Oryctolagus cuniculus: one gene and its partners. The protein of the gene in region 4 purifies or fractionates together with the protein of the main gene of each other region. This does not show direct contact. Links are inferred from orthologs where the notes say so. Each region holds a gene or a part of one and is shown on either strand. Other genes may lie near its edges.

Region 1 (3,432 bases), on a different chromosome or scaffold from region 4:
ATTATCCAGACTGCAAAGATCTGTGTTATGATGAGTTCCCTTTGTGGGGGAGAGCTGTTGTGAACTGATTGTTCAGCTTCTCACCACGGTCCTGCAGGTGCACCCTGGCTTCATGGTAGAGTTCCTTAGATGTTAACACTCTTCATACAAAGTCCCCGGGAGCCAGCAGTGTTGCACAGTGGGTTATGGCATCCCACATCAGAGCACTGGTTCAAGTCCCACCTGTTCCGCTTCCTGTCAAGCTCCCTGCTACTGCATACCTTGTGAGGTAGCAGATGATGGCCCAAGTTCTTGGGTCCCTGCTACCCACATGGGAGACCTGCATGGGGTTCCTGGGCTTCAGCCTGGCCCAGCCCCAGCTGTTGCAGGCATTTGGAGAGTGAACCAGCAGATGGAAGATCTTCTTGGTCTATCTCTCTGCCTTTCAAATAAATAAATATTTCAAAACTTGGCCAATCAGCCACAAGGCAAGGGCCAGCTCGTCATAGCTGCTAGGCCCGTGTCGTTCTAGTGCAGTATGATTCTGACTGGTTAGAGCTTTGCTTTGTCATCATAGCTACTTATGTTCTCCGAATTTGCTTATTTGAAAATAGGAAAATATATTGAAGTCTTTGTGGACGTTTAGCTGTTAATCTTGATAGGTGCAGATATGCAGGCTTCTACATCATTCCCATGCCCCTCACCACAGCAGGCTGGGTTTTCTTGAATTCAAAGTGTGGATTGTAAGCAGGGGCTTGAATGGCGTGTGCTGATTACTTTATAACCAGGGGCGGCGGTGTGGTCACTGACTCTCCGCGGGATACCTTGGGCACGCAGTGCCACTCAACGCTCTTCTGCAGACAGTTGAGTGTGGCCACACCTGGCCTCTCCCCTCGCCTCCACCGTGACTGGCGCCGAGCGGGTGGTGGAGATTCTGAATAGGACTTCTTGCCGCAGGTCGTTACTTAGTCACATGCCGTGGGGTAGAGGGACCCAGCCGCCCCTGAGCAGCTGAGAGTTTTGGGGAAAAGGTGGTCTCTGCCTGTGGCTAACACCTTCTTCTGTAACTTTCCTCAGTCCTGGACAAAGACGTCGCGTCTGCTAAAGCACTGTACGAACATTTGACTGCAAAGAAGACAAAACTGAACGACCTGTTTCTGAAGCGCTACGCGGTTTTGCTGAAGGGCGCTGGAGAGTCAGTCCCCTTCCCGGAGCCCCCTGTGAGTATTTCTTAATTACGGGAGAAAATACCTCTGCAGATTGACACGGGCCTCCGAGCAATGCGTAAGAACATAAGTTGAATACTTAATTACGCAAGGATTAGGCCTGTGCGTGGAGCCCTGGGGGGTGGCCGAGGCTCTGGGAGACAGGGCCCTCGGGGCGAGGCAGTGGGCAAGGCCGTGGCAGACCTCCAGCTGGAGGAGGGAATTTCTCCGGTGTCCTTGGGGCAGTTCTCACCTTGTTTCAACTTGAAACAGGCTTTGATGGCCTGGACTTCAGTAGCCAAACATATACCCCTGTTAATTACTTGTTCGTTTTAGATGAATTGGGTTTCTTGGATTTCTTCATCTGGGAAATTTGGTTTGCTTTCAGTAAGAGAAATCACACATGCAGAATTCCTTTTTGTTCATTGAATCGAAAGTCACTGCACCTGGATTATTTCAAACACCTTGACCTTCCGTACCCACGTGCACACATGCACACAGCAGAGGCTTCTGCTCTGCTTTTGGGGCCCTTGAACTTGTGACTTCATGAAACAGAAGACTGTGCCAAAGCTTGGGGGTGGCATTGGCCGCAGGACCAGCAGTCTTAACTACCAGTTTGCTTTATAATTTTTTTAGATTTTATACTGTTACCCCCTTTTTTTTTTTTTTTAAGATTTGTTTATTTATTTGAGAGACAGAGGCAGAGAGAGAGAGAGAGGTCTTCCATCTGCTAGTTTACGCCCCAAAGGGCCACAACGGCCAGTTTGAAGCCAGGAGCTTCCTCCTGGGCAGTGGCCCAAAGACTTGGGCCATCTTCCACTGCTTTCCTAGGCCACAGCAGAGAGCTGAATCAGAAGTGGAGCAGTTAGGACTCGAACTGGTATCCATATGGGATGCCGGCACTGCAGGCAGCAGCTTTACCCACTACGCCACAGTGCCAGCCCCTGACGTTACCTCTTGCTGTGAACTCTTTCTCTAACTTCCCTCTTCTCTGCCTTTTTTTTCCTTATTAACAGGAAAGCTTCGAATTCTATGCAAATCAGCTAAAGGAATCAAAAGAGAAGCCCTTGTGAGATTAAGAAGGCACTTTGCTGCATGTGTGTTCATGATTCTGGACTAAATGTTATTTGTAAAATGTACTAGAAACAATAAAGTGAAAAATTACTTTTCTACATACTTTCATTTGTAAAATGCGAACGTTGAGCATCTTACTGCTGATTTTGTGTCCATTGAGTCATAATACGTCTGTGTCGTTTCTTTACGGCTCCTCTGTGTGAAGCTGTAACTCTTCAGGGTTCTTCCGGCTAATGCCATCAGTTTTCCTGCTCTGTTTCATTTGTTATTTTCATTAAAATGTTATTCCTTTCAAACTTGCTTGTTTGTATTGTTTATCTGAAAAATTTTGGAGCTAGAGAAACAATATTTAGCTTCCCACTGTTTGATATTCTATAATTCTGTGTGCGTGAAGTCCTGGATAACTTTCCAGTTTTGTAAATCACCAAATCTAGCATGTGTTGTTTTCCAGCAAGCAGCAGAGTCCAGTCACTGTCGCCATCACCTGCCCTCGGCCAGCTCCCGACGCACACGTTCAGCACATGTTCATTCCCTCCCTTTTTCCAGGGGCACCTATGAAGTGTCAGAGTCTTGGTCATGTCCTCTCATTTTTTAAAAACTTTTATCTCTTTATCTGAAAGGCAGAGAGAGAGAGAGAGAGAGAGAGAGAGAGATCCACTGCTTCACTCCCCAAATGGCCGCAACAGCCCAGGCTGGGCCAGGCCAAAGCTAGAAGCCGGGAACTCCATCCTGTTCTTCCACATGGGTGCCAGAGACCCAAACACTTGAGCCACCTTCCACTGCCTCTCCAGATGCCATTAGCAGGGAGCTGGATCAGAAGCAGAGTAAGAGACTCAAACTAGGACTCCGACACCGGGCGCTGCTGTCACAGGTGGCAGCTTTACTGGCTGCACCACAGCACCAACCCAGGTCCTCATTTGTTTCCAGGACTCTGTTAGCACAAGGTACACCTACCCCAGGCTTGGGACATTATGCTTGTATCCTGTAAATATGTGATTCCATGTATGAAAGGGTGTGAGCTGCTGGTTTGTGTTCACTTTTATAGATTAAAATTTACCTTCATGCTGGCTCTTGTGCCTTTTAATATCTATAGCATAAGTACATTAATAAGGTTTAGGATGGGAAATCAAGGCAGTTTATAAAGGTGGGGTGAGATAGTTAATTTTGAAAAATA
Region 2 (4,783 bases), on a different chromosome or scaffold from region 4:
GGTGCTTCCCCGCTGATCCGGGCACCCCCTACTGCTGCATAGACCCAGGCCCCGGAAGCTGGCCCAGCCTGGCCTTTGCTGCCGCCGAGTCATCTTGGGAAAGTGACTTGCGTGTTGCGAGTGAGCCTGAATGCGGGCTCAGTCCTGTGCTGGACAGGGCAGCTGAGCAGGCTGTGCCCCTGCAGGGAGGCATGTGCTCCGTGTACCTGAAGGACAGTGAGAAGGTGGTCAGCATCTCCAGCGAGCACCTGGAGCCCATCACCCCCACCAAGAACAACAAGGTGAGGCCGGGGGCCGAGGGGCGGGGGCCGAGGGTGGGGGGTGGAGGACGCGGGGCCCTGACTCTGACTGCCTCCCGCAGGTGAAGGTGATCCTGGGAGAGGACCGGGAAGCCACGGGAGTGCTGCTGAGCATTGACGGTGAGGACGGCATCGTCCGCATGGACCTGGACGAGCAGCTCAAGATCCTCAACCTCCGCTTCCTGGGGAAGCTGCTGGAGGCCTGAGGCGTGCCTGGGGCCGAGGCGCAGGCAGAGTGGCCGGGCTGGCCGGCCTGGACTGCCTTGGTGTCCTCTCTGGGTCACCTCCCCCCCATGCTCCTAGGAATCAGAGTAGAGTCCGGAGGAGGGGCCCCACTTTCTTGTACCCCAGCCCCCGGCTTGCTTTTGAGTTACGATCTTTCAATAAAAAGCTGTTTGGTCAAAAGTGCTGAGCCTGGTCTTTTTTAAAATTTAATTTATTTATTTGAGGGGTAGATAACAGAGATCTTCCATCCACTGGTTCACTCCCCAAATGGCCACAACGGCTGGAACTGAGCTGATCAGGAGCCAGGAGCCTCCTGGGTCTCCCACGTGGGTGCAGGGGCCCAAGGACTTGGGCCATCTTCTGCTGCTTTCCCAGGCCATAGCAGGGAGCTGGGTTGGAAGTGGAGCAGCCGGGACTCGAACCGGCGCCCGTATGGGATGCCCGCCCAGCGCCGGATGCCTGAGCCTGGCCTTGTTTGTAAGTGGGGTCAGTTCTTACCCAAGCCTCAGCTTCCCCACGGAGGAAAGACCTAGGGAAAGGCGAGGAGAGCAGCGTCCAAGCCCCGCTCGGCAGGAGGAGGAGCAGTGGAGAGAACTGCCTGGGTCCCGAGCCTCCTTCCCTTCATTTGACACGGGGACAGCGCCACCTGCTGGCTCGCCCCACCTGCCGGGCGCTCAGCCCCGGTCTCCCGTGGAGTCGGCCCTGGAGCCGGGTATCAGACCCAGGTGATACGGTGTGGGACGCTGGGCGCCCTAACCGCTAGGCTACACGCCCGCTGCTGGTTTCACTTAGGGCAATTAGGAGGTGAAGGCAGAACCCCCCAGGGGCCGAGATGAGCTGATTCCTTATCAGTTTTTGGGGGCAAATCGGGTAGCCGTGAGTGTGACCCCTGCCCCTGCCACGTCCAGTTTCAGTACCAGTGGTGCTCCCCAGGACTGGAGCTAGGTGGCCATATCCCGGCTGACGGGCCCCGAGGACAGCCAGGACACTGGTCAGGAGCGAGCGCGCCGGCGGCAGTCCGCCCAAGGCCTTTTGGGTCTCTCGGGCTCCCGTCCGCCCGTCCCTCCTCTGTGCCCCGATTGGCCGCAGGCCCAGGTCGGGGCGGGCAGAGCGGGGAGACTGGGCGGGGCCTCGTGGCGTCAGCGCAAGATGGCGGCCTCGGCGGCGCTGTTCTCGCGCTTGCGGAGCGGGCTCCGGCTCGGCGCGCGGGGGCTGTGCACGCGGTTGGCGACGCCGCCCCCCGGGGCCCCAGACCAGGTGAGCGGGACAGGCCAGGCGCTGCGGGCGCGGCGGCCGCGCCTTGGAGTTTTAGACAGGGAGCTGCCGCCCAGTGGCTCTGGGATGCCGCACCTCAGGGTGCTGAATGGAACACTGCCCGCCCTTCGGGCCGGCTCCGTGCCTCCCGGAGCGAACGCTGCGCTCTCCTCCGGCCGGATGCTGGGGCCCGAGTGCACCCTCTGCACCTCCGCTCTCAGCCACGTGGGCGCCGGGGGCGGAGGGTCGCCTGCTCCCTACCTCGGGGACCACTCCGGCGCTAGTTGCGGGAGAGCCCCAGCCTGGCCTTGAGGTTTTCTTGTCCGCCTCGGGCGTGGGGCAGGTGAGCTGGACGTCAGGCGTCCAGTTCGACCCGCCTCCGTGCTGACGGGACCCAGCCATTCTGACCTCCAAGTCCGTGGCCTCCTTGCGCCACTTTCCCAACCCCCAGACAAGCGATCGCCCCTGCCCGCCCCCGCCCCTCTGGGCGTCCGGACGCCTTGACCTCCCGGCCCAACGCCCCGTGTGTGGGGCCCGCGGCGCTCCTGACACCCACGGCCCGCCAGCCCCCGCGCCCCGGGCTCCTTCCGCGGGACAGGCTAAGCGCCCTCCGCGCCGCAGGGCCTCACCCCCTTCTCCACCACAGGCTGCTGCGGAAATTGGGAGCCGCGGGGGAGCCAAGGCCCCGGGACCACAGCAGCAGCAGCCGCCGGGCTCCGAGGGTCCCAGCTATGCCAAGAAAGTCGCGCTCTGGCTTGCTGGGCTGCTTGGGGCCGGCGGGACCGTGAGCATCGTCTACATCTTCGGTGAGACGCCCCGGCCCCCCAGTTCTCTGTTCCCCTGGGGCCGCCCCTGGGCCACTCATCTTCACTCCCGGGCGCTTCCCTGCACAGGGCCACCAAGTAGGAAACCTGCTTTGGAAATCGGGGGTCTCCTTTCGTCTCTCTCACCCCTGTGTAAGGTTCTACTCTAACTGGTCGGCTCCTGTACGAGGCTGTGGGGAGCCACTGGAAGAGGGGAGGTGGGGAAGGCCTGGACCAGCCTCCTGGGCTGTGTCTCCTCCCTGCAGCCACAGTCCAGCACAGTCATCGCTCAGACACCAGGGGGCTCCGTCCCCCCCAACCCAGGAGGCCGTGTCTCTGGTGCACTTATGCCCCCTGTCCCCCATCTCCTCCAAGACCCAGGAGGCAGCGCCCAGCTCCTCTCCCTCACTCCTGTCTCCCTTGCAGGAAACAACCCTGTGGATGAAAACGGTGCCAAGGTGAGTGGAAAGAGACCAGAGGCCTTGCCAGGAGTCCCAGCCTGTGGGTGGGTGTCAGGGCCTCCTTTGGGTCCGCTCTGGCTCCTTTTGGGTCTAGGGCAAGCCCCTCCCTACCTGGAATCAGGCCCTGGAGATCGCTTTGCTGGGTGGTGGTGGGGTCTGCCTCTGCCACCCCAAACTTTGCATTTTCTCTCTGCTTCCCAGATTCCTGATGAGTTCGACAATGGTGAGTCAACAAGCAGAGACTGAGTCCCTGACGCAGCCAGCTCTGCCCATCTGGTGCCCCCAGCTCCTCCTTGCGCTGGGGGAGGGGAGCCAGCAGCTCGATGCTTTTCTGGGAGGGGCATCACAGAGACCTAGCCCTCAGAGAGCAGATGGTCAGAGCCAGGTGGGGGAGGGGAGCCCGGTGGCAGGGCCTGGGGACACCAGGCTGCTTATCCACAGACACGGCGTCTGCTGCCTTCGGTCTGAGCACCTGCCCCTCTCTGTGGCGGCCTCTGAGTTTACCCCCATTCAACCCGGCTTTGGATGGAGTTTGTTCTGCCAGATTGCAGAGTGTTGTTCCACCCAGCCCTGCCCGGGAGAGGCTGACATTGGTGCCTTCAGAAGGCCACTTGGCCTCTGCTGGGCGAGTTTGCACACAGGCACGGTACTGCACTAATTAAACTGGGCAAGCGGGCAGATGTGCTGTTTTAACTGGGCAGGTGTAGGACCATCCTGACTGGAACAAATCAACAGGCATTTCATTTGGTTCCTGGGCAGATAAACATCATGTTTATGTGTACTGCCTTAGCTGGTTTTAATAATGTGATTAAAGAAAAATTTATTATTTATTTGAAAGACACAGATCTCCCATCCACTGGTTCACTCCTCAAATATCTGCAACAGCTGGGGCTGGGCCAGGCTGAAGCCAGGGGCCTGGAGCTCAGTCCAGGTCTCTTACGCGGCAGGGACCCGAGGACTTGAGCCATCATCTGCAGCTCTCAGGGCACATGCACAGGAAGTAGAACTCAGGAGCAGAGCTGGGACTTGAGCCCAGATCCCGCTGAGTGGAATGGGGGACCCCCGTTGGCGTCCTGACTCTGTATCAAACACGAGCCTCTGTGCTATAGTATTGTTGAGACAGGCGCATCGGGAGAGCTGTGAAGCCCTGCAGGTACCTCCCCGCCTTCACAGAAGGTGTGTATTGTGAGAAAACTATGCGTGTGTTCAGTTGTTTTTACACCAAAACTACCTTTTAATTTTTTCCACCAACTTTGAAATACCTGCATCCTGTTTTAAAGTCATGGGAGACAGTCACAGGAGTTTGTGGTTGTGAGCTGCTGCAGGTGGGCTCTGGGGCCCTGGGTTCAGCTGCAGGTGGGCTCTGGGGCCCTGGGTTCAGCTGCCACGTGGACCGCCCACCTGTGTCCTGTGTCAGAGTGCTGATTCTAGCCAGCTGTCTGCCAATGCACCTGGAAAGCAGCGCTGATGGCTCATCTGCCCACCTGTTTGGGCCCCTTCTACTCGTGTGGGAGACCTCAATGGAATGCCTGGTTCCTGGCTTCAGCCTGGCCCAGCCCTGGTTGGTAGAGCCATTTGAGGAGTGAACCAGCTGATGGAAGATACCTCTCTCTCTCTCTCTCTCTCTCGCTCTCTCGCTCTCTCTCTCTCTCTCTCTCTCTCTCTCTGCCTCTCAAACGACTCAGCGTGTTTATTTAGAACAGATTGTGCACCCTCAGCCCTGGTGGCCCCGGGGCCAGAT
Region 3 (4,249 bases), on a different chromosome or scaffold from region 4:
GCACACACGTGTGTGTGCGTGTGCACGCGTGTGTGTATGTCCCTGTCACTCTGCCTCTCAAATAATCAATCTTTTCTAAAAAGAAAAGAAAGCCTATGACAGAGAGGAAGCAAAGGTGGCAGGATACTAACAAAGGGTCAGTCGAGGCAGCGGCTGTAAGGAGTGGTCAGTGCACTGTGTTTTCACCTTTCTGTGCATCAAAATAAAAACATTTAAAAATAAGGAAAAGCACAAGGCAGTGCTTGCTCTGACCCAGTGTGAAGGAATCACAAATCACTTTCAGTTTGTGTTCATTTGTGTATTTCCAAAATTTCCTGCAGTACATTTTGTCTAAAATTTCTTTTGGACTCATAAAAGTCACAGAGCCTGTGGAGTGACCGTCCACATACATGCAGCACTCAGACAGAACAAGCACCCGGCACACTTAATCCTCGCCGCGCGGGCTGTATTTTTAGCCTCATTTCACCGGGAAACCAACACCACAGAAGTTATGAAAGCTGCTCAAGGCCACAGCGCTAGCAGAAGGCAGGACTCGGCGTCAGCAGCGAGAGGGCCGCGCGGCCACGCCAGGCGCCGGTGCCCGCGGACGCTGTCTTCTGTGTGCCCCCAACCTCCTCGACCACATGCTGGCTGAGGCAGAGAACACAGTCCAGGAAACAGAGGAGCTGGCGAATGCCCAATAATCTTCTACGGACAGTGGACGGCCTGTTACCCCAGATCTCTCTCAAACTCAAAAGTACCGGCTCTGCCTTCATTCTCTCTCCAAAAGTTAACCATCAACGGAGATGTCAGTCATGCTCCAAGTGCAAGGGGAAACACTGTGCGGCAACCCCGGGCAGGAGACGGCTCCACAAAGGAGCCTCTGGGTGACACTCGGCGAGAGGAAGCCCAGAGCTGCCCTCCTGCCAGGCCGTGGGGCGCTGGGCACTGCACGTCTTGTCTATGGCCTGCGATCCATGCTCAGAACACCAGGATGCTCTGTGTGTGAAGTTTACTTCGGAGAGAATTTCCATTATAATCTTTTCCCAGAAACATCAAAAATGTAACATCACTTATTTATTTTGTAAAAAATGAAGTCATTTTAATTTTACCAAAAATACACACAGCTGAACATGTGTTTAAGCAAGGGGGAAAATGAAGAACGCAGGGAGGAACAACAAGGCAGCAGCGCACTGGGACCAAGCGGGGGACAGGGGGAGACGGGGGAGACAGGGGGAGACAGGGGGAGACAGGGGAGACAGGGGGAGACAGGGGGAGACAGGGGGAGACGGGGGAGACGGGGGAGACGGGGGGAGACGGGGGAGACGGGGGAGACGGGGGAGACGGGGGAGACGGGGGAGACGGGGGAGACGGGGGAGACGGGGGAGACGGGGGAGACGGGGGGAGACGGGGGGAGACGGGGGGAGACGGGGGGAGACGGGGGAGACGGGGGAGACGGGGGAGACGGGGGAGACGGGGGGAGACGGGGGGAGACGGGGGGAGACGGGGGGAGACGGGGGGAGACGGGGGGAGACGGGGGGAGACGGGGGAGACGGGGGGAGACAGGGGGAGACAGGGGGAGACAGGGGGAGACGGGGGAGACGGGGGAGACGGGGGAGACGGGGGAGACGGGAGACGGGGGAGACGGGAGACGGGAGACGGGGGAGACGGGGGAGACGGGGGAGACGGGGGGAGACGGGGGGAGACGGGGGGAGACGGGGGGAGACGGGGGGAGACGGGGGGAGACGGGGGGAGACGGGGGAGACGGGGGAGACGGGGGAGACGGGGGAGACGGGGGAGACGGGGGAGACGGGGGAGACGGGGGAGACGGGGGAGACGGGGGGAGACGGGGGAGACGGGGGAGACGGGGGAGACGGGGGAGACGGGGGAGACGGGGGAGACGGGGGCCCTCACAGCCCTCCTGGGGCGGGGGGGAGCACCCACTCACACAAGACACAGCCGTGAGGGCAAGGGGAGACAGGGGAGACGGGGGCCCTCGCAGCCCTCCTGGGGTGGGGGGGGAGCACCCACTCACACGAGACACAGCCATGAGGGCAAGGGGAGACAGGGGAGACGGGGGCCCTCGCAGCCCTCCTGGGGCAGGAGAGGAGAGGGGGAGCACCCACTCACACGAGACACAGCCGTGAGGGCAAGCGACTGCTGAAGCACACGGAGTTTGCAAGCCAGAGAAACACAGTGCTCCAGGACACAGAATAGAGTGTTATCACAGGCAGTCAAAGCACACCCCCCCTGAGAAGACCGCTCCCCTGCACACAACTTTCACGCTTTGGCACGCATGCACCCGCCATTCTGTGCCTAATTGGGCTTGTTACGATTATTACTGAAAAAAGTAAGAAGCATTCAGTACTTACTACTGCTTCCATATCAGAAGTGTCAGTTGGAGCAAACATAGACTGAACCATAAACTTGTGCTTACTTTTCTCATTGGGGTCATAATCGAAAGGCTGTAACATCACTGAGAAAGAAAATATTTCATTAGGAGGGTCAGAGCTGGGTTATCCGCGCCACTCGTCACGCTAGTGCTTGTCCTGTGCCTGGGAAGCTGTTGCCCGCGTCCTCTGATCTGAGCCTTCGGGCCAGCGCTGAGGGAGCCGGTGACCGCACCTTCCCCGAGCCGGTGCAGAAGGTCAGGGCTGGGTCTTCCGGCTCCCAGCTGTGCATCTCTCAATCCTCCAGCCTACCCTCGACCCGGCGGCAGGCCTCGGAGGGCAGGCGGGCGAGGCAGAAACCACAAGCCTGCTTCTGTTCCAAGCACCTTTCAGAACAGCAACAGAACAATCCGGAACATGGAAGGAACTGTTTCAGCTTCTCTCCACCCCATTTCCTCCTAGTTCATCAAGGTAAAGCTTGAAACACAAAGCTGCCACCAGAGCAGGAGGATATGCAGAGAGCACAGGAAAACCCACAGCTCACGGCCCCTGCTCCTCGCAGGCACCCGGAGGACACCCCCCACCCTCACCAGGGGTCTGTGGACCAGCAACAGCCACAGCCTCCGCTGCCCTCAGCCTCTCCCACAGGGTAGACGAGGGCCTGCCCCGCTGACGAAATGATGGCCGCTTTAAAATCTAGTCTGCTGCAGGACTTGGGCTAAGCCCTCATCTAGTGAGGTTCCCTGAAACACAGCTCCACCTGCGGGAGAGGCCTCCTGGGGCCCTGCCTCCAGGCGGGAGCCGGCAGGGACCTGGCACCTCCATGTGGTGTTGCCAGAACGGGGCTCCGGGCTTCGGATCAGGAGGCCGTGTGACTCTGATGCCCACTTTCTGAAGCCCAGAGAAGTGACCCGCTATGCCTGAGGTCACACTGGGGAGAGGGCAAAGCCAGGCCCCAGCGGCCTGCCAGGCGAGCCCTTGCTCCCGGCAGGCGCCCTGAAGGACCTCCTCGTCCTCGTCCTCGGTCCCTCCCGCCGGCAGTGCTCCCCGTCCCGTGCTCCTCAGTGTCCTCTGAAGCTCATCTCGACACTGCCCAAGGCCAGCACTCAAGGTCCCGGGCGGCCAGGGAAGGGCACTGTCTTCAGCCCTGGTCCACGGCTGGTCCACGCCGGGGAAACCGGAGGCCCCACAGGGGAAGCAGCCGAGACCTCTGACTCCCGGCGGCCCCTGCACCCCACTGGACACGCCCACGACAGGGACTCCGGGATCTGCACTGATGGGGAATAGAAAACGCCAGCTTCCCTCCCCCGACTCGGGAGATGCAGGACAAAGAAGGTGCGTTATGAGCTCCCCACACATCAGACCGAGAGCACCGGCCGCCCACAACACTCAGCAGAGTGCTCTGAGCTACAGGACAGAATTCAATGCACACTGAAGAGCAAACCTTGCACACACACAACGCAGCGTCTAGCCAAGGGTAACTACAATAAGGACATTTGGTCTGAACCTCAAAATCCAAACAGTGTAACCATCGGCAGAGAGAAGGAAAGCCACTTAGGAACAAGGGCCACTCTTCTCGGAATCCTATGCCTGCAGGCACAAAGGCGTGGTGCACTCTGGACAATCCGGCCCTCACTAGTGGCTTTCTTTTTAAAAACTTTTTACTAGAGAAAGAGAAAGACAAAGACAGAGATAGAAACACAGAACAAGACAGAGATCTTGCAACCACTTAGTCCTCAGATAGGCTGGCCCAGACTGAAGCCAGGAGCTTAGAACTCCAGCCTGGTGTATCACGGGTGCAGGGGGCCAGGTACATGGGCCATATTCCTCTGCTTTCCCAGGCTCATCTGCAGGGAGCTGGCCCAGAAGCAGAACAGCCA
Region 4 (4,249 bases):
TTGTTTGAAAGGCAGAGAGAGAGAGAGAGATCCTCCATCCGCTGATTCACTCCCCAAATGGCCACAACAGCTGGGGCTGACTCAGACTGAAGCCAGGAGCTTCACTCATCCAGGTCTCCTTGGATGCAGGGGCCCAAGCACTTGAGCCATCTTCCTCTGCATTCCCAGGTGCATTAACAGGCAGCTGGATTAGAAGTAGAGCAGGACCGGTATTGCAGCTCACTTGGCTAATCCTCTGCCTGTGGTGCCGGCACCCTGGGGTTCTAGTCCCGGTTGGGGCGCTGGGTTCTGTCCTGGTTGCTCCTCTTCCAGTCCAGCTCTCTGCTGTGGCCCGGGAAGGCAGTGGAAGATGGCCCAAGTGCTTGGACTCTGCACCCGCATGGGAAACCAGGAGGAAGCACCTGGCTCCTGGCTTCAGATCGGCGCAGCTCACCAGCCGAAGCAGCCATTTGGGGGGGTGAACCAATGAAAGGAAGACCACGAAAGGAAGACCTTTCTCTCTGTCTCTCTCTCTCTCCTCTGTCTACCTGTCCAAAAAGAAAGAAAGAAATGGAGTAGCCAGGACTTGAACCGGCTCCACAGACTGGACTTGAACCAGCGCCACAGACAGGGAGCAGCTTAACCCACTGAGCCACAGCCCCGACCCTTACTGTTTGTTTTGTTTGGGACTTTCAAGCTCCTTTCCTCTGTCTTGGTAATATGCACAGCAGGTTATGTGAGCTGTAGCCATCACCCCACTGGGCCGTGGAGCACCCGCACTCACTTCTCCCTCCCTCCCCCAGGCCTGCCCTGTGCTTTCCTGTCTTAGGTCACCTGTTGGTGAGCGCGTGTGGGTCTGTGTCCTTTTCAAAAAGACTCCACCTGTGACCCAGTTTGAGGGCTAGCAAGCTTGTTTCCTTTTGTTTGTTGCGTGCATGTGAGCGTCTGTGGTCCCCTCAGCAGGTGCGGGCAGTTTCGGGGCTGGACCGAGGGAGGCGTGTGGGGCCGTGGGGAGTGTGGTACCGTGCTCTGTGGAGGCGTGTGGGGCCGTGGGGAGTGTGGTACCGTGCTCTGTGGAGGCGTGTGGGGCCGTGGGGAGTGTGGTACCGTGCTCTGTGGAGGCGTGTGGGGCCGTGGGGAGTGTGGTACCGTGCTCTGTGGAGGCGTGTGGGGCCGTGGGGAGTGTGGTACCGTGCTCTGTGGAGGCGTGTGGGGCCGTGGGGAGTGTGGTACCGTGCTCTGTGGAGGCGTGTGGGGCCGTGGGGAGTGTGGTACCGTGCTCTGTGGAGGCGTGTGGGGCCGTGGGGAGTGTGGTACCGTGCTCTGTGGAGGCGTGTGGGGCCGTGGGGAGTGTGGTACCGTGCTCTGTGGAGGCGTGTGGGGCCGTGGGGAGTGTGGTACCGTGCTCTGTGGAGGCGTGTGGGGCCGTGGGGAGTGTGGTACCGTGCTCTGTGGAGGCGTGTGGGGCCGTGGGGAGTGTGGTACCGTGCTCTGTGGAGGCGTGTGGGGCCGTGGGGAGTGTGGCACCGTGTTCTGTGGAGGCGTGTGGGGCCATGGGGAGTGTGGCACCGTGCTCTGTGGAGGCAGCAGCTGCGCTTTCCAGCACCGCGGGGCAGTGCAGGGAGCAGAGGATGTGGGTTCCCGGCTGGAGAAGGAGTCGCTTCTCAGTGCGGAAGATGGAACAGAGTGACCTTGCGCCCCGGTTCTACCTTTGTCACTTGGGGAGAGTAACCCGGTTACACCCACCCCCTGGGGTTTGTGATGAGGCTGGGGGAACCCCGAAGGATGGTTCCTTAAGTTGTTAATGGGACTCTCTTCTCCTGCAGCTGCGTGGACCTGGATGACAAAGGCTGCCCCGCGGAGCAGAGAGCCAGGTTGGCCCAGTCTCCTCCTGGTGCCCCTGTCTCCCCAGCCGGCCTCTGATGCAGGGAGGGGTCACCTCGTACACTTCCCTCCCCAGGCCACCCTTACACTGGTGATCCCACTTGCCCAGGGTGCTGGGGGCGGGAAGATGGTTGAGACCCTCCCCACCCAGGTCCTGCCCGCTGGAGTGGCCTGGTTCATTTCCCTGGAACTCAGGGTAGGGTGAGAAAGGTGCAGCTGCAGCACTGGCACGGAAACAGGACAGATTCTTAGCTGGAGATGGCAGGAGGCCTCAAGGAGGTGGCTTTGAAAGAGGGGCAGGTATTTCGCTTGCGTTTAGGTGGGATGGGGGAAGCAGCAGGAAAATCCAGGCTGTGTGCCAAGGTCCTGGTGTGGGGATGGGCTGTCGAGTATGCACAGGGAGGGAGCAAGGGGGGAGGTCAGAGTCAGCTAGGGTTTGGATCTGAAGCACGGAGGCCTTGACCACCAGGCCACTGAGCTGAACATGGTTGTCTGGCCAGCGAGGGGCTTTTCAGAGGAATAGATTCAGCCAGCATTCTTCCGAGGTTTGCTCTGCCCCAGACCCTGGCTGAGAAGGGCAAGGGTGGGGAGGTGGGCCAGCACAGGGACAAGGATGACCAGAGTGCTGGGTCGACTCCCAGAGGCTCCATCCAGGGTGAGCTGGGTCTTGGAGGTGGGCCCGTGGAGAAGTGGTGGTCCAAGCAGGAGGATGGGCTGGGACCGACCGGGAGTGAAACGCTGGTTTGGTGCTACAGCGAATTGCTGGGTGCACATTCCTGGGCCCCACCCACATGAGGATCAGAATCCCAGGGAGGGGCCTGGCTCTGCAACTGTGCATATTAACAAGCTCCCTGGGGGTTCTGCTGCCTTGAAATTGTAAAGCCCTGAGCTATGGCCAAGGGCAAGAATACCGGACAGAAAGGGCTTGGAAAGGCTAGCTGGGAGTTTGGATTCATTGTGGAGGCAGTGGGGAGCCTCGGCAGGTTTTCGTGTAGGGAAGAGAGGGTCAGAGCCTGTGGCCAGCCTTCCCAATGCTAGGGACTGTCGTGTCCCGCCCCCGGGGCCCTGTGTCCCCTTGCCCGAGTGGCCCCCTCCCTGACCCTGGCTCTCACCCCCAGCCCTGTCACGTCCATCATCGCTGCTGTGGTGGGCATTCTGCTGGTCGTGGTCATGGGGTCAGTCCTCGGGATCTTCATCAAGCGAAGGCGGCAGAAGATCCGGAAGTACACCATGCGGAGGCTGCTGCAGGAAACGGAGGTGAGCCGGCCCAGGGCCCCTTGTCCCCCGCCGCTGCCGGCCTGAGGCTGGGACCCAGCCCCGGCCCCAGCACTGAGCTGCACCTCCGCCCCACAGCTGGTGGAGCCACTAACACCCAGCGGAGCGATGCCCAACCAGGCTCAGATGCGGATCCTGAAGGAGACGGAGCTGAGGAAGGTGAAGGTGCTTGGATCAGGAGCTTTCGGCACAGTGTACAAGGTCAGGAGCTGGGGTGGTGGTCCCCGGGGTGGGGCTGTCCCTGCAGGGGTGTGGGGGAGGGGGAGGGCGAGGCGATGGGACAGGGAAGGGCTCTCAGGGAGACGGGTGGGGCTGGTCCGACCCCTGCTCATGGCTGTTTTTCTGCTCAGGGCATCTGGATCCCCGATGGGGAGAATGTGAAAATCCCGGTGGCCATCAAAGTGTTGCGGGAAAACACATCCCCTAAAGCCAACAAAGAGATCCTGGACGTAAGCCCGTGCTCCCCTCACACCCTGGCTGTAGGGTGGGGCTCTGATCTTTCTGCACTGGTGTCTGGGGGGATGGGACTCCCAAACCTCAACTCAACACCCCCGTCTGTGGTCCGTGGCTGTTTTGTGATGGTTGGGGTTGGCAGGGTGAGGGTCCCCAGTCACGGGAGGCAGTTGGGGCTGGGGTCTTTGGTCTCTGACGATTTTTTGGCCCCCAGGAAGCATACGTGATGGCAGGGGTGGGCTCCCCCTATGTGTCCCGCCTCCTGGGCATCTGCTTGACGTCCACGGTGCAGCTGGTGACACAGCTGATGCCCTACGGCTGCCTCCTGGACCATGTCCGTGAACACCGCGGGCGCCTGGGCTCCCAGGACTTACTGAACTGGTGTGTGCAAATTGCCAAGGTATGCACTTAGGGGCAGGGCCTGGGCTCTGTGGGCCCCTGGGGAGCAAGCCCCTCTCTCCACAGGGCTAGGGTGGGTGCATTTCCCGGGCATGGGGCCAGTCCGAGCCCCACGCAGAGGCCCCACACCAGTGCCTCCCATTGCAGGGGATGAGCTACTTGGAAGACGTGCGGCTCGTGCACAGGGACCTGGCTGCACGGAACGTGCTGGTCAAGAGCCCCAACCACGTCAAGATCACAGACTTCGGGCTGGCTCGGC
Region 5 (4,249 bases), on a different chromosome or scaffold from region 4:
ATTTTTATATTTGCAGGAAATTATGGATCGGATCTACAAAAATGTCATGAATAAAGTGAATGAAATGAGTAGTTTTCAACGCAATCTATTTATTCTGGCCTATAATTACAAAATGGAACAAATTTCAAAAGGACGTAGTACCCCACTGTGTGACAGGTAAATAAGGACCCTCCCTTTTTCTTTTGATAATTTAATCATTTAATTCATGTTAATTAACCAGTTAATTGAGATAGAGATAAGTAATATTGGGGGAGGGCAGCATTGTGACGAAGCAGGTTAAACCACTTCCTGCAGTGTTGGCATCCTGTATGGTTGCTGGCTTATTACTGGCGCAGCTCCAGTTGTAGCAGCCATCTGGGGAGTGAACCAGCGGATGGAAGACCTCTCTCTCTCTGTTTTTACTTCTCTCTATAACTCTGTCTACAGATAAATAAAATCAATAAAACATAAAAGATATAATAAAAAAAAGAATATGAGGTATTTAAAAATAACCTGCAGGAGCTGGTGTTGTGATATAGTAGGTTAAACCACTGCCTGCAACGTTAATATCTCATAGGGGCATCAATTTGAGTTCCAGCTGCACCACTTCCCATTCAGCTCCCTGCTAATGTGCCTGGGAAAGCAATGGAGAACGACCCAAGTATTTAGGTCCCAGGACCCATATAGGAGACCTGAAGAAGCTCCAGGCTCCTGACTGCAGGCTTCAGCCTGGTCCAGCCCTTAGTTGAGGCCATTTGGATAATGAACCAGCGAATGGAAGATCTCTCTGTATGTGTCCCTCTCTCTCTCTCTCTCTTTCTCCAACTCTGCTTTTCAAATCAATAAAAATAAGTCTTGAAAAAACCTGCAATATCTTTTGAAAATATTTTTCGTTTAGAATTTTGCTGTATTTAATTTAATTTTAATTTTTTATTTAATGTAATTCTGTGGACACTTAAGGGACTTAGTACTTTGAGAAAATTTCTCTTTGATTTGAAATTTATATTGGCATCAATATAAAATTTCAGTATGAATATAAAATGAAGACTAAATATGATTAAATGTTTTGTATTTAAAGTTTTAAATGACCAATTTTATCCCAGATATGTATTTTGATAGTGTTAAATAGATTTATGATTTTATGATTAAAATTCAAATTTTTATGAAAAAATTAGTTTTCAGGTACTTCTTTTTATTTAGAACTCTATGAGCTTTTTTCCCTGCCTTATTATCTCTTTAGCAAGATATATATACATTGCTTTGGAAAGTTTGTTAATTTGATTTTTCAAAGTTATTTAAAAATTTTTTTAAAAATCTTCTTCCCCTTTTGGATTGAAGTAGTGAATAATCTTAATTTATTAAAATTAATTTATTAAAATATTATTAGAAACTTATCAATTAGATGATGAATTATTTTCCTTTTTTTAATTCCTCATAGATGATTTCTTTTAAACAATAATAATGCTTCTTTTAAACAATAAAACTTCAATTAGTGAAATATTAAAAATAGCTAGGAGGTGGGTATTTATTTTAATATTTATTATTTGAGAGATAGCTTATAGACAGGGAGAGGGAGAGACAAAGAGACAAATCTTCCATTTCAATCCCCAAATGGCGGTAGCGGCCAGAGCTTTTGCTGATCCGAATCCAGGAGCCAGGGTCTCTCATGTGGATGCAGAGGCCCAAGCCACTTGAGTCATCTGCTACTGCTTTCCCAGGCCTAGCAGAGAGCTGGATTGGAAGAGGAGTGGCTAGGACTCAAACTGGTGCCCATATGGGATACTGGCACCTCAGGTGTAGCCCATTATGCCACAGAACCAGCCCTGGAGGTGGTTATTTAACCTAATAATTAAGACACTTAATCCTGTATCAGAATGCCTTGGGTGCATTGCCTGGACTCAGCTCCCAACTCCCCAAGTCAGCTTCCTGCTCATGTATACTCTGGGAGGCAGTGGTGATGGCTTAAGTAGTTGATATCTGTCACCCATGTGGAAAAGTTGAATTCTTGGTTCCTGGCTTTGACACGGTGTCGCTCCCCTCTTCGTGGAGGAACGACACGGACCCTGCGCTGTTCTTTTGTCTGCTCGGCCCTCCCGGGTTTGCTGCTGGTTCTTCCAGTGTTGGCTACCGACCTTTCCACCTCCGTGGAAGGGCGTTCCCCTGCCACTTTCCCCACTTCCGCGGGGGAGCGGCACACCGCCGGCCGGCTCTCTCGGGGGCTGCACAGGTGTTCCTTCAGATAGATGTTCCTGGTGCATGTTGTCTCTCTCCCTCCTTTATAGTCCTCTTCCACCAATCCCAACTCTGCTACCCACACGCCGAGTACGCTGCTCTCCTCCAATCAGGAGCAGGATCAGCTCCTGCAGGTCATCACTCAAGTTGGCGAGAGGCAGCTGCGTAGAAGTTGTTAATCCCTTCTCAGCGCCATATTGTGGGAGAGCAGATGCATAGAATAAGTCTTAATTCCAGTAACAGTCTAGTCCGAGTTGCTCCCCACAACACGGCCCAGTCCTGGACCTTGCGGGCATTTGGGGAGTGAACCAGCAGATGGGAACACACCGTATCTCTCTCTCTCTCTCTCAACAACCAAAAAGAGCTTTGTTGCTATGTATAAATATGTGCACATTTCTAATGAAGTAAAGCAAAAACCTAATTTGCTTTTAATTTCATGTAGATATAATACAATAATATAATATAAACTAGTTGCTATGATTTAAGGGATTTTCCATTATTACACAAAATAAATTATATAATAATTCTTTTTGAAGATTTATTTATTTGAAAGCAGAATTAGAAGGAGAGACAGAGAAAGAGATCTTCCATCCACTGGTTCACTCCCCAGATGGCTGCCATGGCTGGAGCTGGGCTGATGAGGAACCAGGAGCTAACTTTAGGTCTCCTACATGGGTTGCAGGGGCCCAAGCACTTGGGCCATCTTCCATTTCTATCCCAGGCACATGAGGAGGGAGCTGGATCAGAAGCAGAGGAGCCAGGACTCAAACCGGTGCCCATATTGGGTGCCAGTACTACATGCAGTGGCTTTACCATAGTGCTGGCCTCCTTATGATTGTGAATTTAGATATTACTTGAAAATTTCTTATGGGGAATTCATGTATTCTTTACCTTGTTAAACTATTAGAAGCTAAGATTTAAATAACAGGTCAAGAGAATCTCCCAAATTGGCTGTGTGACTTTAGATAAGTCACTTAATTAAAAAAATCTCATATCATAATTGGGAGATTAGAAAATGATTTGGAAATCTTTCAGCTTTAAAATCCTGTGACTCTGATTAATTCCTTTTTTTAGCTTTGTTTTCCGGAAAGTTCGAAGTTTGCTAGGAGGAAATATTCGACTTCTTTTGTGTGGTGGTGCTCCACTTTCTGCAGCTACACAGCGGTTCATGAATATCTGTTTTTGCTGTCCTGTTGGCCAGGGATATGGACTTACGGAATCTACTGGTGCTGGAACAATTACAGAAGGTTAGTGTTGTTCCTGAAATGAAGTGTCCATCTGAGACTTAAGTACAACTCCAGGTATTTTTTTGGTATGGATTATTTTCTGCAAATATATTGGAGATGAGTAGTAGAGGTTTTTGTCTAGTAGATGAGTGGGTAAAATTGAGGTGGTATTATTGATACCAGTTTTTAGAATATATTGGATGTGTCTGTAGTCAATAATTTATCTGGAGAGGCTTTTCATATTAAACTATTCAGGTATTTAGCATTCTGGAAAGAAGCTTTAGTGACCAGCATTGACTGTGTTGTATATATTTATCTTCTAATATCAGTTATTAGATTTCTTGTAGAAAAATTTGGGTGTTTTTGTCTAGTTGAGCGCTCAAGTTCAGAAATGTCTATGGAGATCTCTCTAAGTGTGGAGAGGAACCAGATTTGAGTCTAGTGAGTATAATTACCAGACTTCATCATGATGAGGGGTTGAGGAGGAGATCCACTGCCTAAATGGTGGTTGTTTCCCAGATGAGTCCCATAGATAGTGCCTCATGTGTCCCTTATAGGAGAGAGTCATTTTGCTTCCCAGTGCTAGAGAACTGTGCTCCTACTTTATATGTCATAGATATTGATAGATACTAAGTTTTTTAACTGCTCATTTTCCATATGAGTGCTTCTGTTTACCATTCATATGCAAGGTTTTTCTTACATTCTGTGTTTTCTTGCCTTTCAGTTGTGTTCTTTTATTTTACATAATTTGGAAGCTAATTTTAGATTTATTTTGCAGGAAATAAGCAGTCTTAAAAACATGCAAATCTGGA
Region 6 (4,788 bases), on a different chromosome or scaffold from region 4:
TGTTTCAACAATAGATACCATAGTTCCAATAAATAGAGGCCTACAAGAAAACAACCAAGTTAATACAAGCAATGTTTTCAAAAACAATCACAAACCAGCATGTACCACTACAATACCCCCCATTGGTTACAATACCCCCCCCCCTTTAACATCAGAAGTCTATCCAGATATAAAAGCTTTCATCCTTCTTGCCCTGGCTTAGCAGTCAAGCATGTCTCTGACCCCATTCAGAGTATAAACTTTTTACCACCTACTCATCTACAATTATTATCACCAACTAGTAGACTATGACAGGGAAACAAAATCACCTTATAACAAATGTATTGTTTCATTTGAACAGACTTAAACAGCCAGTTCTAATTTCACTACCTTTAACCATAAATGAATGATAATCAAACTCTCTATACCCCTAGTTTTAACAGTAACAACATGCTCCTTCTCTCTGCCTCTCCTAACTGGAACAAAAATGCTACCTGCAGTTTTTCTATGTACCATATTTTCAATCACCCTTAGAAAAATTTCCTCCTCTCGATCTTTTTCCATTTTGGCAGTGGGGTTACAAAAACAAGCATACAGGCCTTCATTTGTGACAATTTCAATGCCAGCCATTACTAGGTCAATTCAGTTTGATAAATTTTAATAATGGAATATATTTTTATACTTAATCTTGAAAGACATCAGATGCCAATGGGTTTTTTAAAAAAGTTTTGACACTTGAACACTACTAAATGCTTTATTTTTTTTTTCCTAGCCTTTTTTTTAAGTTGGTTTTTCCTAAAAGCTGTTTTAAATGATTGCTTTGGTCTATGGGAGGCTCTCAGGCCTAGGACGCCACAGGACTCTAAGCTACAGGCAATACTAAGCTTTCTAGGGCAGTTTTTCAATTCCTTCTCAAGGACTTCAGACTGAATGGTCTCCGCATTCCCTTAATCCTGGAGAACAGACTTCTGCAAGTTTTTCAAGTTACTGTTGTGATCACTTCAGGGCCTTGTCTTTGTGCTTGGCCTTCAGAACAAAGATTAGGTCAAAGTAATGAATACTGGGTGCAAATTAATCACATTTTGTCTTGTGTGAAAGGACAACCTCCAATAAACCATAAGGGAATTTTCTTCTTCTACCTGAGATTTTTGAGAATTTAAAAGTAAAATGAAAGTAGCTTTAATCCAAACAAAACACCTCCAAAATAGTCAGTGATTCCAACAAACAGTAAACAGCAGCATAATGTAGGTAACACTCCGGGCTCGATGTAATATTTACTAGAATGAAGACAAGTTAACAGGAAGCCAACGAAGGGTACTGACGGTTCACCAAGTGGCAAGTAAATAATGGAATGGCTTTCTAAATTCCAGACAAAATACTTTACAACTTAGCGATCTGAAAAACATCGGCCTAGACGTCATCAAAGGAAACGCAGCCGTCTCTTCAAGTTGCTGTCTAGTCTGAGCCACCATTATTCACGATACAAAGCTCTCAGTTCACTAAAACCACTCCTCGATTTCCTTTCGCCGACCTCTGCATACCAGCAGCCCAGTCTCCCTTCATTCACCGCGCACAAACTCGGGGGGAGGGGAGACCACAGATGTCTGGAAGACACAAAGTAGGAGACAATGCCCCCTCCAGCAAGGAAACGACTACACCCCGCGCCCCAGCTCGGCAGATCCAGAAGCCGGCGACGGGAACCGAACTTCCTTGAGAGTCGGGTTCAAAGTCCTCTCCCCGCACAAAACACCGAAAAGAAGTTACAATGCTTGGATTCTCGTCTGTCCCATTTCGTGGGGGAGGAAAAAAAAATTCGCTCCGCTGAAAAGAAAACGTGCTCTAAAAAGGGGAGAGGGGAATCAACTTCAGCTGCCACACAACTATTGGAATAAATTATTCCCACGATCGAGAAGTCTCCAGGCAGCCGGAGGCTGGAGCCTGCGGGCCGCTCGGGGACCAAGAGCCGGTCCCCGTCGTCCCCTCCCCTACGGTCCTGGGGTCTCAAGCCCCACGGCCACAAACCCAGAGCGCTCCACGCCGCCCCCACTCGCCTGCACGCACGAGAAAACCTCGGTGCACGACGCACACTTCACAGGTGCACACCCTACTGACGCATCGCGCCGGCTGCACGAAGAGTTTAGTTACTCTGAGGCTTAAAGTTGTTTCGATTCGAACTCACATAGGCAGGGTTGTTAACAATATATCCTTAGTCGTCTGTTAGACGCAGAGAGGAAACCCGCCAACTCCACCGGCTCCCATTCCCCGCCGCAGAACAGCACCTGGGGGTGGCGTCCCGGCCTCCGGCGTCCCGAACCCCCAAACTCGCCGCCGGGCTGCGAAGGCGGAGCCCCCCGGCCGCACCCCGCCCCCCACCCCGGCGCATCCCGAGGCGCAGGGTCCCTCCCCCAAACTCGGCCGCCGCCGGAGCCCGGGACGGAAACCGCCGCCTCCCACCCCCACCCCGCCGCCGGTCATCCGGGCTCCTGGACGCGCCCCCGCGGCGCCCCCTCCCCGCCCGCGGCGCCCCCCGGGGCCCCCCGAGGGGCAGCGCGGCCGGAACCTGGGCCCGGCCGCCGCCCTCCGCGCCCTGGACGCCGCCCGCCCCCGCCGTCGCCGGCCCGCGTCCCCGGCTCCCCACCCCGGCCCTCCGGGCTGCGCCGGGCCCGGCTGCCCGCCCGCCCGCCCGCCGCCGGGACCGCGCGCCCGGGACGAAGTTTGGCTCCGAAGAGGGAGCGGGAGCAGCCCAGGAAGGGTAAGGGAAGGGAGCGTCCAAGCACCTCAGGGGAACAGGCTCCACCCGCCGCGGGCGTCCGACCGTCCTCGGCCTGCGGTGGCGGCTCGGCGGGGACCGCAGCTGCTCCTCGCACCTTCCTCCGTCTCCGCCTCCCCCTCGCTCTCAGCTCCCGGGGCCGGGCTAACGCGGCTGCCACAGACCGAGAGGCTTAAAATGGCGCCGCACAAGGAGCTCTTATAAGTCGCGCTGGCCCGCTGTATCCTGCCGCCGCCGGCGCAGCGCGGAGCGTTCCGCCGCGCGAGGACGAGGGGCGGGGCGCGGGCGGCCGCCGAAAGTAGTCCCCGCGCCGCCCGCCGCCGCCGCCGCCGCCGTCCGACCGCCCCGGGGCGGGGCGGGGTGGCCCGCGCGCGCGCCCGCCCGCCTGCGCGTGCCCGCGCGCCCCTCGGACGCTCCCAGCGTGGCCCGCCGGCGGCTCCCTGGCCGCCAGAGACAGCAGGGGAGCGGAGGGGGCGCCGTGGTCCGCAGCCGGGCGGCCGGCCCACCCCCACTCTGGCCGATGTGGGAGGAGGGCAGCTCCGTCCCGAGCTGGACGCGCGCTTCCTGTCCCCCCGCGGGGGAAGGGGCCATCGCGCGCCCCGGGCCTCAGGAGCCGCGTGGGGCCGCGTGGGACGGGTCTCGAGAGGGCTGAAGTCGGGGGCCCCGCCGCGGGTCGGGGCGCTCACTCCCCCGGAGGTCCCTGCGGTCCGGAGGGTGGGCGCGGCGTCCCCCACCGGACTCCGGGCCGAGCCGTCCCGTCCCCACTCGGTGGCCGCACTGGGTGAAGTGGGCGCCGAAGCCCCGCGTGGTTCAACAAGTCGTCCCGAGTCCCCCCACTGCGAACAGATGACGAGTGGAGGAGGACTGGCTCCCGCGCGCTATCGGTTAGGTCTTTGCTATTTAGTAGCTGACCTTCGTCTGGTCCCACTCGGAGCAGCAGCGGAGCCACTGGTGGGGCTTTTCCTTTGGGAAGAACTGCGTTTCCACCCTCCTGCTGCTCCAGACATCCACGGAGGTTGTTTCTAGGAGGAGCTGTGGAGGAGGCAGCCTGGACCATGTTTTTAAAAACTAATTTGTTCTTCTTCAGCAGCGTCCCCTGGTTCTCAACTTCAAGGAAGTTGGGAGTGCACCCGCCTTGCCCCCGTCTCCATTGTCATCCTGCAAGAGTGGCATCTGTCAAAGCCGGTCCACTCTCTCTCCTCCATTGTTTTATGCTTATTTTTCCTCCAAAAACAATGGAGAAAGTACAGAAGGCAACAGTGAAAGTTACCTCGGGGGCTTTTCTCCTAGGACTGTAATTAATGCCTATGCAAACAATAGGTCTTTATACAGAAGTACAGGCAGGAAACCTTTTTCATCACCTCATGGAGATAGCATGCTTTGGAGCCAACCTGCTCTCTAAATGACACTTATTTTTCGGTCCTAAAGATGTTTTACTGTATACAGCGGTACCGCTGTCTCTCGCCACAGCTCGCGGGAGCCCCTGCAGTGGAAAAAGTCCACCCGCTAAGATGATGCTTGGTGAGGTCCATTGTCTCCAATGGTTTTCTCATCTGTATCTTTGCAGCAATTGTATAGAATCAAGTGTGCGTGTTGGTCGCAGTTAATTTCCCTGGTCGCAACTCAAAACAGATCGAACGGAAAAAGGTATTTCATCAAAGTACTGTTTCTAAGACAAAGTCAGAGGTATAAATGGCGTGTACAGGTATCCACACCCCCCCCCCCCGTTTTAATTGTCATGTACAGAGTCAAGGAATATTTCAGTTGATTTGATTCAAATTATACATTTAAAATCAGATGACTGATTCTCCACAATTAGTATTTTTTAAAAATAGAGCTTTGCATCTTCTGTGTTCAGTGTGTTTTTGCTAATAAGGCACACTGTTGAAACCTGTTAAGACATATCTGCACCAGTAGAAAATCTAAAGAGTAAGAACACTTTCTATCTGTATTTCTCTGTTCAGGTGCCAAAATAATCTAAGAATTTTTTCTGTAAGTTTAGAATCAAGTTTTTTTTTAGCCCTAGTGATACTTAAATA
Region 7 (3,288 bases), on a different chromosome or scaffold from region 4:
CGGGGCCGTGCCCTCAGTAGGTGAGCCTGGAAGCTGGGAGACCAGGGCGCGCGCAGAGGCCGCGCGGACCCTTCGCGGGGCGCTGGGGGGCCGGGACGAGCCGCTGCTGTGTGCCCGCAGGCCCGGGTGGAGCGCATGGAGCAGTTCCAGAAGGAGAAGGAGGAGCTGGACCGTGGCTGCCGCGAGTGCAAGCGCAAGGTGGCCGAGTGCCAGCGCAAGCTGAAGCAGCTGGAGGTGGCCGAGGGCGGCCAGGCCGGCCAGGCCGAGCTGGAGCGGCTGCAGGCCGAGGCGCAGCAGCTGCGCAAGGAGGAGCGCAGCTGGGAGCAGAAGCTGGAGGAGATGCGCAAGAAGGAGAAGAGCCTGCCCTGGAACGTGGACACGCTCAGCAAGGACGGCTTCAGCAAGGTGCGCGTGCGCGGGCCGCGGGGCTGGGGGCGGCCGCCGGGGGGCGGGGGGCGGGGCGCGTGTGGAGCCTGCCTGGGGGGCCCGGCGGAGGACGCACCCCACCGGCGCCCCCCTCTGATCTGCCCGAAGGCCCCCGCGCACGCTCCCGCCTCCTTGCTGCTCATGGCGCCGTCGACGTGGACGGGCTGGGCGCGGCGGCCCCGGCCTCCGCGCTCGGCTGGGCGCCCCCAGCCCACTCCCCTTCTCACCCACCCGCAGAGCATGGTGAACACCAAGCCCGAGAAGGCGGAGGAGGACTCGGAGGAGGTGAAGGAGCAGAAACACAAAACCTTTGTGGAGAAGTACGAGAAGCAGATAAAGCACTTCGGTGAGTGGGGGGTTGGGGGGTGGGCGCGTGGGGGCGGGCCCCCCGGGGCGGGCAGGGCGCGGCGCCCCCAAGGCCTCACCAGCACCCACGACCGCCTCCCCGCAGGCATGCTCCGGCGCTGGGACGACAGCCAGAAGTACCTGGCGGACAACGTGCACCTGGTGTGCGAGGAGACCGCCAACTACCTGGTCATCTGGTGCATCGACCTGGAAGTGGAGGAGGTGCGCGGGCGGGGCCGCCAGGCCGGGGCCAGGGCAGGGCGGGGGCGCGCCGGGCCCGCGAGCGCCCCCTGGTGACGCGCCGCGCCGGTCCTCCTCCGCAGAAATGCGCGCTCATGGAGCAGGTGGCCCACCAGACCATCGTCATGCAGTTCATCCTGGAGCTCGCCAAGAGCCTCAAGGTGGACCCCCGGGCCTGCTTCCGGCAGTTCTTCACCAAGATCAAGGTGGGGGCCCGGGTGGAGGCCAGGAGCTGGCCGCGGGGGCGGGACTGGAGGGAGAGCGCCCTGGGCGGGGTGGCCCCGGGTGGAGACCAGGAGCTGGGCTCTGTCGGGGTGGGGGCGGGGGCCGAGGGACGGAACTGGAGGGAGGGTGCTCTGGGCGGGGTGGCCCCGGGGGTGGAGACCAGGAGCTGGGCTGGAGGGGAGCGGGGGCGGAGGGGCGGGACTGGAGGGAGGGCGCCCTGGGGATGGAGACCAGGAGCTGGGCTCGGGGGCGGGGCCGAGGGACTGAGGGACAGGACTGGAGGGAGGGCGCCCTGGGGGGATGGCCCGCGGTCACGGCCCGCTGGCTCCTAGACGGCCGACCGGCAGTACATGGAGGGCTTCAACGACGAGCTGGAGGCCTTCAAGGAGCGCGTGCGGGGCCGCGCCAAGCTGCGCATCGAGAAAGCCATGAAGGAGTACGAGGAGGAGGAGCGCAGGAAGCGCCTGGGCCCCGGCGGCCTGGACCCCGTGGAGGTCTACGAGTCCCTGCCTGAGGTGAGTCCCTGCCTGAGGTGCGCGGCGGGGCGCGGCTCCAGGGGGGGACGGGGCGGGGGGACCCTGACCCTGACCCCGCCCCGGCCCTGACCCGGCCCTGCGCCCCCAGGAGCTGCAGAAGTGCTTCGACGTGAAAGATGTACAGATGCTGCAGGATGCCATCAGCAAGATGGACCCCGCCGTGAGTGCCCGGGCTCCCTCGGGTCTCCCAGGCGGGCGCGGGTGGGGGGCCGGGCCGGGACAGCGCCGCCTCACGGCCGCCCTCCTCCCCGCAGGACGCCAAGTACCACATGCAGCGCTGCATCGACTCCGGCCTCTGGGTCCCCAACTCCAAGTCCAGCGAGACCAAGGAGGGGGCGGGGGTGGGCCCCGGGGACCCGCTGCTGGACGCCGCCCCCAAGGCCGGCGCGGAGGAGGACACCAGCGCCTGACCCGCCGCCGCCGCCGCCCGGAAAACACAATAGATGCCCTCTTCCCAGCTCCCGCTTCTGTGTCCGCTGCTGCCCCCAGCCCCGGGGGGCCGCCCTCCCCTCCCCCGCGCCCCCCCACCGCTCGTCCCACTCTGCTTCCACCCAAGGGGCTTCCCCGGCTGCCCCCTCCCCGTCAGCGCTATGCCAAAGGCCCCGGGGTCCGGGGAGGGGCAGGGGTCGCCACACTGGTCCGCTGGGCGGGGGGAGGGTCCCCAGCCCAGGGGCCGCGGGCTCTGTTTTCTCTGTTGGCTGTCGAATCTTCTGTTTGGAAAACAGCAGTGATCTTCCAATAAAGGATTTCAGACGCTCGCCGGGGCCACAGATGGGGCCGTGGGCAGAGCCCTGTGCTGGGGTGGGGGAGAGGCCTGGGTGCCTGTTGGCGGCCCTGCGGGAGACGCCCAGGGTTTTGTTTGCCCGCTGATTGGAACCCCTGCATCTCAGAGCCAGAATCCTCTGCCCTCCGTTCTCTCCCGCCCCTGGCCTCTCTGGGGCCGCTCACCCCACAGCCCGCATTCGGCAGCACCGCCCCTGAGGGCACTAAATCCTACAGCTGTCCCGGCCTCCTGCAGGGCCCCCACGGGCCGCCAGAGGGCGCCTGTGAGCCGACGCGTGGCGCAGGTGCGTCTGCTCACAGCCCTTCCCCGTGGCACTTGACCTTTGTCAGGGTGGCCCCGAGGAGGGTCGGTCAGTGCCTTCCTCAGGCCACAGTGACCAGAGACGATTGGGTGAGGTGCCGCCTGACAGGGGCAGCCCCCGGCGCTTCTCCTGGGACACCCTTTCCTCTAAGGGTTGGGGGACCCTTCAGAAGTCGGGGCGTGTCCCCAGGTACTAAAAAAAGGGCCACGAGATGAGTGGGAGTAAGAAGATGCATTTCCTGGCTAAAGCCGCCATCTGCAGTGCCGGCTTCCCATATGGGCGCCAGTTCGAGTCCCAGCTGCTCCAGTTCGATCCAGCTCTCTGCTATGACCTGGGAAGACATTGGGAGATGGCCCAAGTGCTTGGGCCCCTGCACCCATGTGGGAGACCCAGAAGAAGCTCCAGGCTCCTGGCTTTGGATTGGCGCGGCT

Evidence for each region.
Region 1: the proteins of ERBB2 (region 4) and LRPPRC purify together in Homo sapiens (affinity purification with mass spectrometry; 3 studies listed by BioGRID and IntAct, with this or other methods). This does not show direct contact. The link is inferred for Oryctolagus cuniculus from reciprocal best matches to the Homo sapiens genes ERBB2 and LRPPRC.
Region 2: the proteins of ERBB2 (region 4) and TIMM50 purify together in Homo sapiens (affinity purification with mass spectrometry; 3 studies listed by BioGRID and IntAct, with this or other methods). This does not show direct contact. The link is inferred for Oryctolagus cuniculus from reciprocal best matches to the Homo sapiens genes ERBB2 and TIMM50.
Region 3: the proteins of ERBB2 (region 4) and VAPB purify together in Homo sapiens (affinity purification with mass spectrometry; 3 studies listed by BioGRID and IntAct, with this or other methods). This does not show direct contact. The link is inferred for Oryctolagus cuniculus from reciprocal best matches to the Homo sapiens genes ERBB2 and VAPB.
Region 5: the proteins of ERBB2 (region 4) and ACSL3 purify together in Homo sapiens (affinity purification with mass spectrometry; 3 studies listed by BioGRID and IntAct, with this or other methods). This does not show direct contact. The link is inferred for Oryctolagus cuniculus from reciprocal best matches to the Homo sapiens genes ERBB2 and ACSL3.
Region 6: the proteins of ERBB2 (region 4) and CTNNB1 purify together in Homo sapiens (affinity purification with western blotting; 3 studies listed by BioGRID). This does not show direct contact. The link is inferred for Oryctolagus cuniculus from reciprocal best matches to the Homo sapiens genes ERBB2 and CTNNB1.
Region 7: the proteins of ERBB2 (region 4) and CDC37 purify together in Homo sapiens (affinity purification with mass spectrometry; 3 studies listed by BioGRID and IntAct, with this or other methods). This does not show direct contact. The link is inferred for Oryctolagus cuniculus from reciprocal best matches to the Homo sapiens genes ERBB2 and CDC37.

The regions. Positions count from the first base shown.
Region 1 is NC_091433.1:158,886,309-158,889,740, forward strand, and holds the end of LRPPRC (leucine-rich PPR motif-containing protein, mitochondrial), read left to right. Parts: intron 1-1,056; coding exon 1,057-1,199; intron 1,200-2,200; coding exon 2,201-2,257; 3' UTR 2,258-2,554; downstream 2,555-3,432. UniProt on the Homo sapiens protein: May play a role in RNA metabolism in both nuclei and mitochondria. In the nucleus binds to HNRPA1-associated poly(A) mRNAs and is part of nmRNP complexes at late stages of mRNA maturation which are possibly associated with nuclear mRNA export.
Region 2 is NC_091449.1:15,489,310-15,494,092, reverse strand, and holds the start of TIMM50 (mitochondrial import inner membrane translocase subunit TIM50), read left to right. Parts: upstream 1-1,625; 5' UTR 1,626-1,673; coding exon 1,674-1,781; intron 1,782-2,424; coding exon 2,425-2,584; intron 2,585-3,007; coding exon 3,008-3,039; intron 3,040-3,243; coding exon 3,244-3,265; intron 3,266-4,783. Other genes in the region: SUPT5H (transcription elongation factor SPT5), read left to right, coding at 186-281, 362-505. UniProt on the Homo sapiens protein: Essential component of the TIM23 complex, a complex that mediates the translocation of transit peptide-containing proteins across the mitochondrial inner membrane. Has some phosphatase activity in vitro; however such activity may not be relevant in vivo.
Region 3 is NC_091442.1:3,754,287-3,758,535, forward strand, and holds part of VAPB (vesicle-associated membrane protein-associated protein B/C), read right to left. Parts: intron 2,456-4,249; coding exon 2,352-2,455; intron 1-2,351. UniProt on the Homo sapiens protein: Endoplasmic reticulum (ER)-anchored protein that mediates the formation of contact sites between the ER and endosomes via interaction with FFAT motif-containing proteins such as STARD3 or WDR44.
Region 4 is NC_091448.1:22,673,886-22,678,134, reverse strand, and holds part of ERBB2 (receptor tyrosine-protein kinase erbB-2), read left to right. Parts: intron 1-1,805; coding exon 1,806-1,853; intron 1,854-2,981; coding exon 2,982-3,120; intron 3,121-3,216; coding exon 3,217-3,339; intron 3,340-3,488; coding exon 3,489-3,587; intron 3,588-3,805; coding exon 3,806-3,991; intron 3,992-4,137; coding exon 4,138-4,249. UniProt on the Homo sapiens protein: Protein tyrosine kinase that is part of several cell surface receptor complexes, but that apparently needs a coreceptor for ligand binding. Essential component of a neuregulin-receptor complex, although neuregulins do not interact with it alone.
Region 5 is NC_091434.1:16,426,043-16,430,291, reverse strand, and holds part of ACSL3 (fatty acid CoA ligase Acsl3), read left to right. Parts: intron 1-16; coding exon 17-156; intron 157-3,285; coding exon 3,286-3,458; intron 3,459-4,249. UniProt on the Homo sapiens protein: Acyl-CoA synthetases (ACSL) activates long-chain fatty acids for both synthesis of cellular lipids, and degradation via beta-oxidation.
Region 6 is NC_091441.1:106,508,237-106,513,024, forward strand, and holds the start of CTNNB1 (catenin beta-1), read right to left. Parts: upstream 3,014-4,788; 5' UTR 2,757-3,013; intron 2,294-2,756; exon of another isoform or gene 2,159-2,293; intron 1-2,158. UniProt on the Homo sapiens protein: Key downstream component of the canonical Wnt signaling pathway.
Region 7 is NC_091447.1:67,020,421-67,023,708, forward strand, and holds the end of CDC37 (hsp90 co-chaperone Cdc37), read left to right. Parts: intron 1-120; coding exon 121-405; intron 406-663; coding exon 664-772; intron 773-877; coding exon 878-993; intron 994-1,094; coding exon 1,095-1,217; intron 1,218-1,568; coding exon 1,569-1,751; intron 1,752-1,860; coding exon 1,861-1,932; intron 1,933-2,026; coding exon 2,027-2,182; 3' UTR 2,183-2,530; downstream 2,531-3,288. UniProt on the Homo sapiens protein: Co-chaperone that binds to numerous kinases and promotes their interaction with the Hsp90 complex, resulting in stabilization and promotion of their activity. Inhibits HSP90AA1 ATPase activity.